Bombyx mori: one gene and its partners. Each later gene encodes a partner of the first gene's protein in a complex. Links are inferred from orthologs where the notes say so. Each region holds a gene or a part of one and is shown in the gene's direction. Other genes may lie near its edges. The genes, in order: cysteine desulfurase, mitochondrial; LYR motif-containing protein 4; iron-sulfur cluster assembly scaffold protein IscU.

The links.
Region 2: cysteine desulfurase, mitochondrial (region 1) and LYR motif-containing protein 4 share a complex: the UniProt entries of both Drosophila melanogaster proteins name them as parts of the mitochondrial core iron-sulfur cluster (ISC) assembly complex. The link is inferred for Bombyx mori from reciprocal best matches to the Drosophila melanogaster genes Nfs1 and bcn92.
Region 3: cysteine desulfurase, mitochondrial (region 1) and iron-sulfur cluster assembly scaffold protein IscU share a complex: the UniProt entries of both Drosophila melanogaster proteins name them as parts of the mitochondrial core iron-sulfur cluster (ISC) assembly complex. The link is inferred for Bombyx mori from reciprocal best matches to the Drosophila melanogaster genes Nfs1 and IscU.

Annotation. Positions count from the first base shown.
Region 1 is NC_085110.1:10,989,771-10,993,531, reverse strand, and holds the start of cysteine desulfurase, mitochondrial, read left to right. Parts: upstream 1-1,002; 5' UTR 1,003-1,197; coding exon 1,198-1,318; intron 1,319-1,639; coding exon 1,640-1,716; intron 1,717-1,794; coding exon 1,795-2,049; intron 2,050-2,589; coding exon 2,590-2,755; intron 2,756-3,761. UniProt on the Drosophila melanogaster protein: Catalyzes the removal of elemental sulfur from cysteine to produce alanine. It supplies the inorganic sulfur for iron-sulfur (Fe-S) clusters.
Region 2 is NC_085108.1:8,217,249-8,221,009, reverse strand, and holds LYR motif-containing protein 4, read left to right. Parts: upstream 1-1,118; 5' UTR 1,119-1,353; coding exon 1,354-1,442; intron 1,443-2,480; coding exon 2,481-2,601; intron 2,602-3,527; coding exon 3,528-3,584; 3' UTR 3,585-3,665; downstream 3,666-3,761. Other genes in the region: uncharacterized protein LOC101737726, read right to left, coding at 60-145. UniProt on the Drosophila melanogaster protein: Stabilizing factor of the core iron-sulfur cluster (ISC) assembly complex that regulates the stability and cysteine desulfurase activity of Nfs1 and participates in the [2Fe-2S] clusters assembly on the scaffolding protein IscU.
Region 3 is NC_085129.1:12,109,259-12,113,019, forward strand, and holds the start of iron-sulfur cluster assembly scaffold protein IscU, read left to right. Parts: upstream 1-1,364; 5' UTR 1,365-1,478; coding exon 1,479-1,571; intron 1,572-2,419; coding exon 2,420-2,800; 3' UTR 2,801-3,761. UniProt on the Drosophila melanogaster protein: Scaffold protein for the de novo synthesis of iron-sulfur (Fe-S) clusters within mitochondria, which is required for maturation of both mitochondrial and cytoplasmic [2Fe-2S] and [4Fe-4S] proteins.

The DNA of each region.
Region 1 (3,761 bases):
CGTCTGAAACTTTTATGGTGGATAAATTTTGGAGTGAAGTCAGCCAAATCTGTCAGCCAAAGTAGAAAGAATAATTTCTGATTAATATCCTATTAATATAGGATTAAAAATCAAGATCGAAATCGATTTAATAATAAGAATGTTGCTGCAATACCTAATGCATGAAAAAGAGGGGCTATGACAGTTGATGTCACACATTTGATCCTGACAGAAGTACAAGATATCAATGGACTCAAAACAACTTTTTTTTTTTAAGGTATTTTATGACCTGGTAACTAAGACCTTTAGGTCAAGTCTTATTTTAATTTTAATGATACGTAACTTTTATAAATGAAAATGATATTATAAAATGAAATGAAGTTGATTATGATGAAACATGGCATAAAGTGAAATGAAAACGAAATGAAATGACATGAGATGAGATGATATGGGATGAAGTATAATCTCAGTAAAATGGTGGTCATTTACTGAGACTTTTTCAGTGGACTTTTTGGAAGATCCCGAGAAGTTACGTTCAGTGGCTTTGTTTTATTTTCCCAAATTTGTGCACTTTCACAGATACTAAACAGTTAATAAACCACCGCTATTACACGTTTAAATCTGAAGAAACACTAACTAGACAAAATAAAACAAATCACACAACTTCACTCCTCACGTTCCCGCCAAAAGTCCACTCAAAACAACTTTATGCAAATGTTACCCAACCTAAAGACGAAAATTATATTTTTAATTAGAATTTAATTTAAACAAGAACATTGTCTCTTTAATTAATTGTGGTTTCTTTTTATTATTTTATTGTTTATTGTTAAATTATATTTTATTGTTAAATTAAAATAATTAATTGTTATATACACATAACAATATTTCACAATTTACATTGTAACACGACAGTAAAAAAAGTATAATAGATTTTTAGTATTTCTCTTTCTCTTTTGGTAGAATTCAGTAGATTTTAACCTCCACAAGCAGTAGATTCATCAAATGAAATCTGGTCACACTGCCCTGACAACAAGTGTCAATAGTCTATAAGGTCTTGTAACCGTTGGCCGTAAATAAATTAAAAAAAAAAACAAATGTCAATCACACGATTGAATCATATGAATGAATGATATGAATTCGAAATTATTTTAGTCAAGACTCTGGTTAAGAATTGCTTGTTTTTAAACTTGCAAAATTGTTTAATTTATTTCATTCAAAATGTTCCGTTTGACAAAAAACGTGATTTCGGTGGTTTGTAAATCCGCAATAAAACAGAAAACCCAATTAAATGGAAACGGCGTTGTTATATTTGAGCAAAGCAATTTTTTTTCCGATTCTGGTAAACTACCATGATTTAATTAGTATTATACCTACTTATTTTTGTATCTAATTTCTATGTTCTAAGGTTTAAGTTAATAGTGTATATTCAATGTCATAATATTATACAAAGTTACGCTATATTATTGATTTTTACCCTATCAACAAAATGTGCTAATCATTTACATCACAATTGCCACAATTTTTTGAGTAAACATGGAATATTATACATTACGTGTCAACTTCCCACATCAAATACATTTGTTATTCAATAAACATTTACTGCAAAATTTAATTTTGTTGCAAATTTATTATAAAAAGTTAAAATCAGTACATGTTTCAGCAAATGACAAATTTTCATTAAAACATGAGGAAGTTGGCCGGCCTTTGTATTTCGATGCTCAAGCCACTACACCAATGGTAAGTAGAACATGATACGAAAATTTTACATTTATTCATATCACTTATGAATGGAGATTTAAGTGCAATTAACTTCAGGATCCTAGAGTTCTTGATGTAATGCTACCATACTTAGTAAGTTATCATGGCAATCCACATTCAAGAACTCATGCGTATGGATGGGAAAGTGAAGCTGCTGTTGAAAAAGCCAGAGAACAAGTGGCAAATTTAATAAATGCTGAACCAAAAGAAATTATATTTACTTCAGGAGCAACAGAATCAAATAACATATCTGTTAAAGGTGTGGGTCGATTTTATGCACCAAGAAAAAAGCATGTCATTACTACTCAAATTGTAAGTTTTTAATTATTTTTATTCAAAAAAGTCCTTTAGTAGTAGAAATTTCTATAATAAACATTATATTTTTAACTCACTGCATAAATTATAATAGCTAAGTAAAAGATTGATTCATAGCCATTAGAATGAACTTATCGACACTTGAAAGGCAAACGTGACTAAGCGACAATGCGTGAACTTTACAGTAGACTAATTTAAAGTTGAAATACCCGAAAAAAATTATATTTTAATGAATCTAGCTGTAGGATTGAAATGAATTTAATAGACCTAGAAATATATATTTTTTGCACATCGAATATGGTTATTGCCTATCATTCATATTATTATAGACATAGGCCTCATACAAAGCAGTTATTGTCGCTTAGTCACATTTGCCTTTCAAGCGTCGTTATTTATTATTTATTTCAGTCGTTGTAATTTTCATTTAGTCTGTCTATTAACACAAGTTTACACTTACACTATAGTCACAAGATTACATTGTTGCTTTTTTTTTTTCAAAAATTATATTTTGGTAATAATGGAGTTTTTATTCTTCAGGAACACAAATGTGTTTTAGACTCATGTCGTGCTTTAGAAGGTGAAGGTTTCAGAATTACATATTTACCAGTCCAACAGAATGGAATTATAAATTTAAAGGATTTGGAAGATGCCATCACGCCAGAAACCAGTTTGGTATCTATAATGACTGTCAATAATGAAATAGGTTTGTAAACATGTAAACTTTTTTCATTATGTGCTATTGTGATTTGTAATCTCTGTAATGTTTATATTTTTTTGTTAATTTGTTATATATTAATAACCTTTCAACTTTAAATATATTGTGTGATATGATAGCAAGGAACATTAATAAACTAATTTAACCTCAAGATCCAAAAATTTGTTGACATTGTCTTATCATCATTAACTTGTAATATTTTATAATTTAACAGTAATGTAAATAAATTATAAACTTTATCTGACCTTGCAATAAAATAAAATTGTTTGACAATTTGCATTATCATAAAAGTTTAATATTTCATTCAAAGTAACATCAATTACTCCCCTCGAGACATGATATTGCTGTCTCACTTCAATTGTATGGTGGTCTCAAGCTTCAAACTTAATGCATAACGGCTCTGTACCAGAAATTGGCAGGGTAATATCAACTACTTATGTGGGATTATATTTTTTTAATATTCAGTATTACAGGCCTCCTAGAGGCTCAGTCACAGTTTTACAATCCATACATTTGAGATGAGTCTGAATCCATTGATTTCAGACGACCCCTAGCCCTTGGGTAGGTACTTACGCTATCAAATACAAAATTCCAAGACTTGTAATATATGTAATTATTACAATCATTTATTTATAAGTACATACCTAATTACATTACATGTGTTGTGCTGCCAGATAGTTACATGTCACTTTATTATTGGGTGTTTTCAGATTTATATTATTAAATTTAATTAAGTATTATATTTGCATTCCGATCTTATAAATTTTTGAGGGAAACAGGAGCATAGCTGTGATTTAAATTTTACTTTACTTACTATGTTAATTAAGTAATTTCTCTAAAATATTGTCTCCAACAAATGAGTGGAAAATTCTGTCTTAAATGGTTTTCTAGTTCATTACATCATTAGATTGGCTGTTTCAATGTTTAAGCTTGTTTACATTTTTTGTAACTTCTATTGAAAGATGATATTTGGTAAGGTAACACAAAATTATAG
Region 2 (3,761 bases), on another chromosome or scaffold:
TGCAACTTCTATATAAAAGAACCAGTAAGATTTAATACATTTCAATTAATTTTAATTACCTGTAAGACAATACAGGACTCTCATCGCTGTGCACGTGATATCTTTCCTCATCATGCCAATTCTTGTGCGATGGTGAATATTCCATGAACTGAAATCAATAATTTAGTAGCCAGGATGGCAGATGGCTCATGGTTGCCTGTTTTAATCAGCAACCACAGGGGCCACACAAGAAATCAGAATATAAAGAGCACAAGATTCCTTGAGATATGAGGATTGAATTACAAATACATTAATATTAAACTACTTCTTATATAATTACTTTACTTTTTTACTATGGATAATATTTAATTTAATTTCCATTGCAACTTAATTAATGATATTCAATTTTCATCATTAATTTGTTTTTTATTATTATAGTATCTGTTTAGAATTTTAGATTTTAACCTGATAATTATTTCAATGACCAAGCGAAATAGTCTCTTTATTTCTTTTTAGTTTTGAAAATTGTTTTTAAAAATTAAAGTTAATATTAGGCATTTCATGGTATGTAATATTTGTGTTACATGGTATGTAAATTGTATTCCTTTGCTAACTTTCATAACTTGACATAACACATATTAAGTGATTTACATACAAAACATGTTTAGTAATCATCTTCCGCTAAGTTACACAACAAAATGTGCAGGCAAGTGAATTTTTAAAAATGGTCTAGAAATCCTAACTTCTTTGACAAAAATATGACAATTTTCTTCGCTAGTCTTGTAAACAAAGTACTTTTGTTGTTTGTTTCCTTTGGATAATTTGGTTAAAATAATTTAAATTTCATCAAACTTTTAACTCACTGTTTAATTTAGTAAGTACCTATATATGTCTTAGAATGACGGCTGACGAGCATAACAATATTTGAATTTGTAATTATCAGATCGCAAATGTTATTAAAACATCGGGAATGTCAAATCAGATGTTACTGACGTTAGACCAAATTGACAATGTACACTTTTCGGTATCCTGTAGTGTAGCTAGACAAAGGCTACTTAAATTTACATCCTTACTAGTGTAAATTGTGACTAATAATCAAAGTCGAATTGAAACTTCTACCCAGACGCGAAACTTACGAATTTACCTTCTTTTACATTTATTATCACAATTCAAAAGTTTTGCACGATAAATTTATTTTATAACAAATAAAGGTTTAACACCGTGTAATACGGAACGTCTAATTTTTGTTTACATAAAAAAACTGGAGTGTAATGTCATAACTGGTCATAACAATTCGTAAGACAAATATCATTGGGTATTACCTTTTATCAATATATTATAGTTTTTAATAAGCTTGTCGAATAATAAAGCGAAATGTCTGGCGCGATACCTAAAATACAAATATTATCTCTCTATAAATTGCTTCTCAGAGAATCCCAGAAGTTCCCTAACTATAATTTCAGGTAATGTTTTGCACCATTATATAACCTAAAACAAATGAAAGATTTACTCCAACGTTACTAGTGAACACAAAAGCATAATTTTGTTACCTTCTTAAATTACAAACAAAGTCAATACATTTTTAATTTTGTCATGATATGTGGCTACCAAATTCTATTAGGCTTAAGTAAATGTATTTACTGGTGGTAGGACGTCTTCAGAGTCCGCACGGGTAGGTACCACCACTCCGCCTATTTCTGCCATGAATCAGTAATGCGTTTCGGTTTGAAGGGGCTGGGGCAGCCATTGTAACTATACTGAGACCTTAGACTTTATATCTCAAGGTGGGTGGCGGCCTTTACATTGTTGATGTCTATGTGCTCCGGTAACCACTTAACACCAGGTGGGCTGTGAGCTCGTCCACCCTTGCTATAAAAAAAAAGCGAAAAAAATGAATTTCAACGCAATCAAAAATTATCAAGCTTGTTTGGAATCAATTATTTGGATAATAATTGAAATGAGTCAGGTAAATGGAATGATGAATGTGATATTAATGCACTTCATTAATATTAATTACTCATTATGATAAGTAATCAACGAGTTTAAATTAGCACTGTGAGGGGCATATAGCTCATAGAAAAAATGGTCACTATTGCAACTCTACACCAAAATCTGTAGTACAAGTAATCCTTCCAGAAGGTAGACCCACAGTATGTTGAAGTTGTGAGAATCTGTCAGATTTGAACAGCTTAGGATCAGTCACTGTGGTGAAGCTTGAGGATGGCCTATGTCCAGTAAAATTATGTAGACTGATGATGATGCTATAAATGATTATCATTTTCATGCATTTAAATTGTTATTTTAGTTTTTTAGGCGGACAAGACACATTTTAAGCAAACTTAATTAGATAATTAAATAAAAAAATCAGCCTCAATTAATAACTACAGCATCAGAGTTACAGTAATTAAAATGAACGAGATTTTCAAAGCCTCAATAAATTATGAATTAATTAATCAACAATTTATCAAAAAATGCTAAATTTTAACCATTCATCCTTTCAGAGCATACGCACTAAGAAGAATTCGAGATGCTTTTAAAGATAATAAAAATGTGTCTGATGTTAAGATTGTGAAGAAAGAGTTTGAATTTGGAAAAGAAAATTTAAATGTTATCAGGAGACAGGTGTGTGAATATGTTTCATTTATGTTATCAAACACATGTGATAATTAGCTTATATTTTATTTAGAAAAGTATTATATTTATATCTTGGTTTCCTTTATATCACATCAGTTAAGTGGTAACGGTAGTCTATAAACATTACAATGGGAAATCTGCCACCTTTTGCTTTTTACAATTTGTCCTTAGTCTTATTGCAGTGCATTTTGCAGTGTTGGTCTTCAGGAGCAGGAAAGGAGAACCAATTTTCTAAAATTTCTATTAATGAAAATAAAGTATACTTCATCCCTACTGTGATGGGTTTGAAATGTTGATTTGATCAAAATATTAAACAACTGATCTTTTTCTCATTCAAATAAGAAAATGTGGTTGCCGAGCTGAGCTGAGAGAGCTGGGAGAGATTATGGTACCAATCTATTCAGGCTCACTCTGGTAGTTTTCCAATTACAGCACAAGAGCTCATTATGCGGCATAATGCTCAACGTTGAATGTTCCAACTGCAGCAACTCGAAGCACAATTGAGCACTCTCAAAAGTACTGCTCTCGCGTGATACTCGCAATCGATACCGACTCAGTGACAGAAAATTGACAAGTGTTTTTTCTTTAAGTTGGCATTGATCGAAATTTTGTTTATATTATCGTTAGTAATATTATTTAATGTTGAAAAAAATTGTAAGGCTTTCGTTTCGTCGTAGTTTCTTAGAAATAATCAATGTTAATTAAGACTGTGCTAACTTAGCGCACTCTGCTGATGCATTTCAAAACTAATTCACGTTCCAATTAAGCTTCAGCATAATTTGGCATTGTGCGTCACTGAGTCGCATTATGCTCTGTAATTGGAAAACTACCACTACACCCCACCTCTGATCTAACTGCACTAAAAGGTTAAACTATTGTGATTAATTCATATATGAAATCATCTTGTTTTACAGGCAGCCATTGGAAATATGTATAAAACAGAAAAACTTGTTATCGAAAATCTGCGGTAGCTTCATGTTTATAATTGTATATTATTATGAAACATCTGTAATGTATAATGTACATTTGACTAATAAATAGTATAATGCAGAGTTTTTTATTCAAATTAAATCTGTAGGGGTCTCAGAACTTTCATTTAAATAATTATAATTGGTTTTGTTACTAAAAGTACAATTAAATGTATATGT
Region 3 (3,761 bases), on another chromosome or scaffold:
CGTAACTGATAATATAAATATTTGCCACATAATAAAATAACACTGCATTGATAATTTTGAATAAAAGTTGTAGACAAAAACATCATGAATAAACCAGATTCTTACCAACAATTAAAAAAAATATTGTTATAATTACATAGACAACCCTAGAAACCTGTACCTATTTATACTTAGGTCGTTTCCATTTCACATATTCTCATCCCAATCGACCCCTTTTTCGTTGTTATTTGTACCTGAGACGTCCCCAATATCCCCAAAAACAACAGATTTTTACATGTATTTTTATTTTATCAAATACATTAATACCAATAACAACTGAGACTTACCTTTAATATAACGGCCGTCTGGTGTAGTGGTAAGTGACATGGTCACTACACAAGGTGGTCGCGGGTTCGAATCCCGCCAAGGGAAGATTATTATATGATAAATATAAATGTCTTTTCCAGGGTTATGGTTGTATATTAAATATATGTATGTGTATAATCAAAATCTTACATTTATTTCCGTTATCTGGTACCTGTAACACAAGTTCTTTACGAACTTATCACGGGACCAGTTAACGTGGCGTGATTATTAGTAAATATTTATTTATTTATTTATTTTATATATGATGGTTCAAACACTAATTTGCGTTTATAAATCACAGTCCTCTTCTATTATTTTAAAATAAATAAAAGAGAACAAAGTTTCTAGCACTAAAATAATTACCACCACAGAAAGTTAATTTGAAACACGATTTTTTATAAGTTATTATCATGCATATTCAGAGTTGTTTTGTGAACTTTCAACATTCTACTATTACACTACAAAAAATGGAAGATTTTGCAACGATTAAAAAACTAGTATTGCGCGTCGAAAGATTTTCCTGTTTTTTTCCCCAATCACCTCTCGATCCCTAATCGCCCCATTTTACGGTACCTATTATTGGTCTTTTTTGGCGGGAACGCGAGGAGTGAAGTTGTATGATTTTTTTTTATTAATTTTGTCTATTTAGTGTTTCTTCAGGTTTAAATGTGTAATAACGGTGGTTTATTAATCGTTTAATATTTGTGAAAGTGCACAAATGTGGGGAAATGAAACAAAGCCACTGAACGTAACTTCTCGGGATCCTCCAAAAAGTCCACTGAAAAAATCTCAGTAAATGACCACCATTTTACTGAGATTATATTTCATCCCAAATCATCTCATTTAATTTCATCCCAGTTTATTAATGTCTCAAATTAATCATCTTCATTTCATTTCACTCCATAATATCATTTTTTATAAAAATATGAATATATTTAAATTAAAATAAGACATGACTTAAAGGTCTTAGTTACCAGGTCACAAAATCCCTTTAAAAAAAACCCAACTATATAGTACTATATACTTGAAAACTTGAAACTACGTCCAAATATAATAAGTGTATAATCTATGACTACGTCGTCTAAAATATAAGAACGTTTATCATCTGAATTTGTTTTTCTGAAATATATAAAATGGCTTTTTTAATCAACGGAATTCGTCGATGTATGTGTCTTAAAGGCTTTGGAAGTCCTAATGTGATTCTTGCGGCACCTTATCATGCAAACGTAAGTACCTATATGCATCAAAAATATTTGCCAATGTCAAGGATTATCGATTTTCTACTTTGCGACGTAATTTTGGCAAAAACCTTGACCATCAGAAAAAGCGAGTAGGAGCTAATGGTCGGCCGATTAAAATGTTAATAATTAATTAAGAGTCTTTTAAAATAAACTCCCGGAACCATTCTCGATTAGAAATTATTTTCGAAATTTAGACATTTCTTGCAACATGCAATCGAAAATTGTATAAATTTTGGAAAGTATACATTTATAATTTCATTTTCTCTTAAGATTTATAACAAGCTCTTTAAGCTGTTTAAATAATAAAATAAGCCTCACGAGTGTCAAGTTTTTGTCGAACAATCCAGAATGTACATTCGATCGAAAATTTATTATTTGAATCAACTTTAATAGTAAATTACTTAAATAAAAATAATACTTAGATGGAAATATCCACTACCTTTTTTTCTACATGTATGTTTGTAGTGTCATCTCATCACCTACAAATTTTTCACCATAAAATTTTCAACTACAAATAAAATACACTTTCATTACAACCATATAGGTAAGAAGAAGGATACATCCTAAGTACTATTAAGGATTGAGATTTCAAGTAATTGTCTAATGTGAGAATTTAAGTTATGCAATATCTTCGCCCTAGTGGAAAAAGAGTGCCAGCAACTGTTTCACTGAGCTAGTCAAAATATTATTATACTAACTAAGGGATTTAGAATTGCCGATTTCAAGAAAATGTGAATTCATTGCTATCTAACCAAAGGGACAAACAAACAAACAATTACAGTTTCAGATTTATAAAATTAGTATGTATAATAAGAGTATACTTTATCTTACAGGTCATTGACCATTACGAGAATCCTCGCAATGTTGGTTCATTGGATAAGAAAGATAAAAATGTAGGTACAGGCCTCGTTGGTGCACCTGCATGTGGAGACGTAATGAAGTTGCAAATCAAAGTGGACGAGAATGGAAAAATCGTTGATGCCAAATTTAAAACTTTTGGATGTGGTTCAGCTATAGCTTCAAGCTCTCTTGCCACTGAATGGGTTAAAGGAAAAACAGTTGATGAGGCACTAAAATTGAAGAACACAGATATTGCTAAAGAGCTGTCCTTACCACCAGTCAAGCTTCATTGCTCTAGTAAGTTTTTAATTGTTAAACTGCAATTTATCAACATAGTAATGATATGTACAAAACTTTTTTTACTGGAACTGTAAAGAGTCAGAACATTTACCAAATTTTTTAAGTTCTTTTCATATGAATTACAGACACTAAGTACTTTAATTTGATACCACACACATGAAGCTATTGTCTGTGATTAAATAAAGCATCATATTTTACCATACTGAATTTTAAAATGCATTATTGGAATAACTATGGATTTGGTAATTACTTAATAACAGGTGGCATGTAAGCTTATTGATCCATCTCAGCAATAAAAAATGCTAAGGAAAAGTTAGTGTAACACAGAAAATATTCTGGTCCAGATACAAATTAAGCAAAATACTATCTACGGTCACGGTGGCATAATAATTTTAATGAATATGAACCATTGAATTAGGACCATTGTACTTGTGCCTTCACTCTGTGGTTGATTTATGATTAGTATACTGGACACTATAGCAGGGGTGGGCAAATATTTTGATAGTCGGGCCACATTGCAGATGAAAATTTGACCTCGGGCAAAACAGTTTTTTTTTTCTAATTTTAAGTATAGTTTTTGCTTAGGATGTCAATTAATAATTTTTTTATAACTTTTGAGAAAATTAGTTCGACTCTTCGAATTGAAAAATATGTTAAGCAAATACATGAGTTTCAGTTTCATTATTTCTTTAGTGTTTTACGATGCATGCACCCTCAGTAGATCTATATATGCTTTTATTTCGTTTAATTTTCTGCCAATTTATTGCGGACAGATATTCCTCCAAATGAAAATTAATATAAAATAACTTGCGTTCTACTATATTGCAGGAGAAAATGGCGGCTTTAGATTTAAGTTATTTTGTTTATTCATGCAATAATGTGATATAATAAGTATAATAACTAATAAAATTGTGCGACTCTTATACATACTGTAATTGTTCAATTATCATAATTATATTTTCGAATAGGAGGCGCTGAAAAGAGGGGTTGTCCGGGAGAACATTTTGGCTCCCACCAGCATTTATGTTATACAAA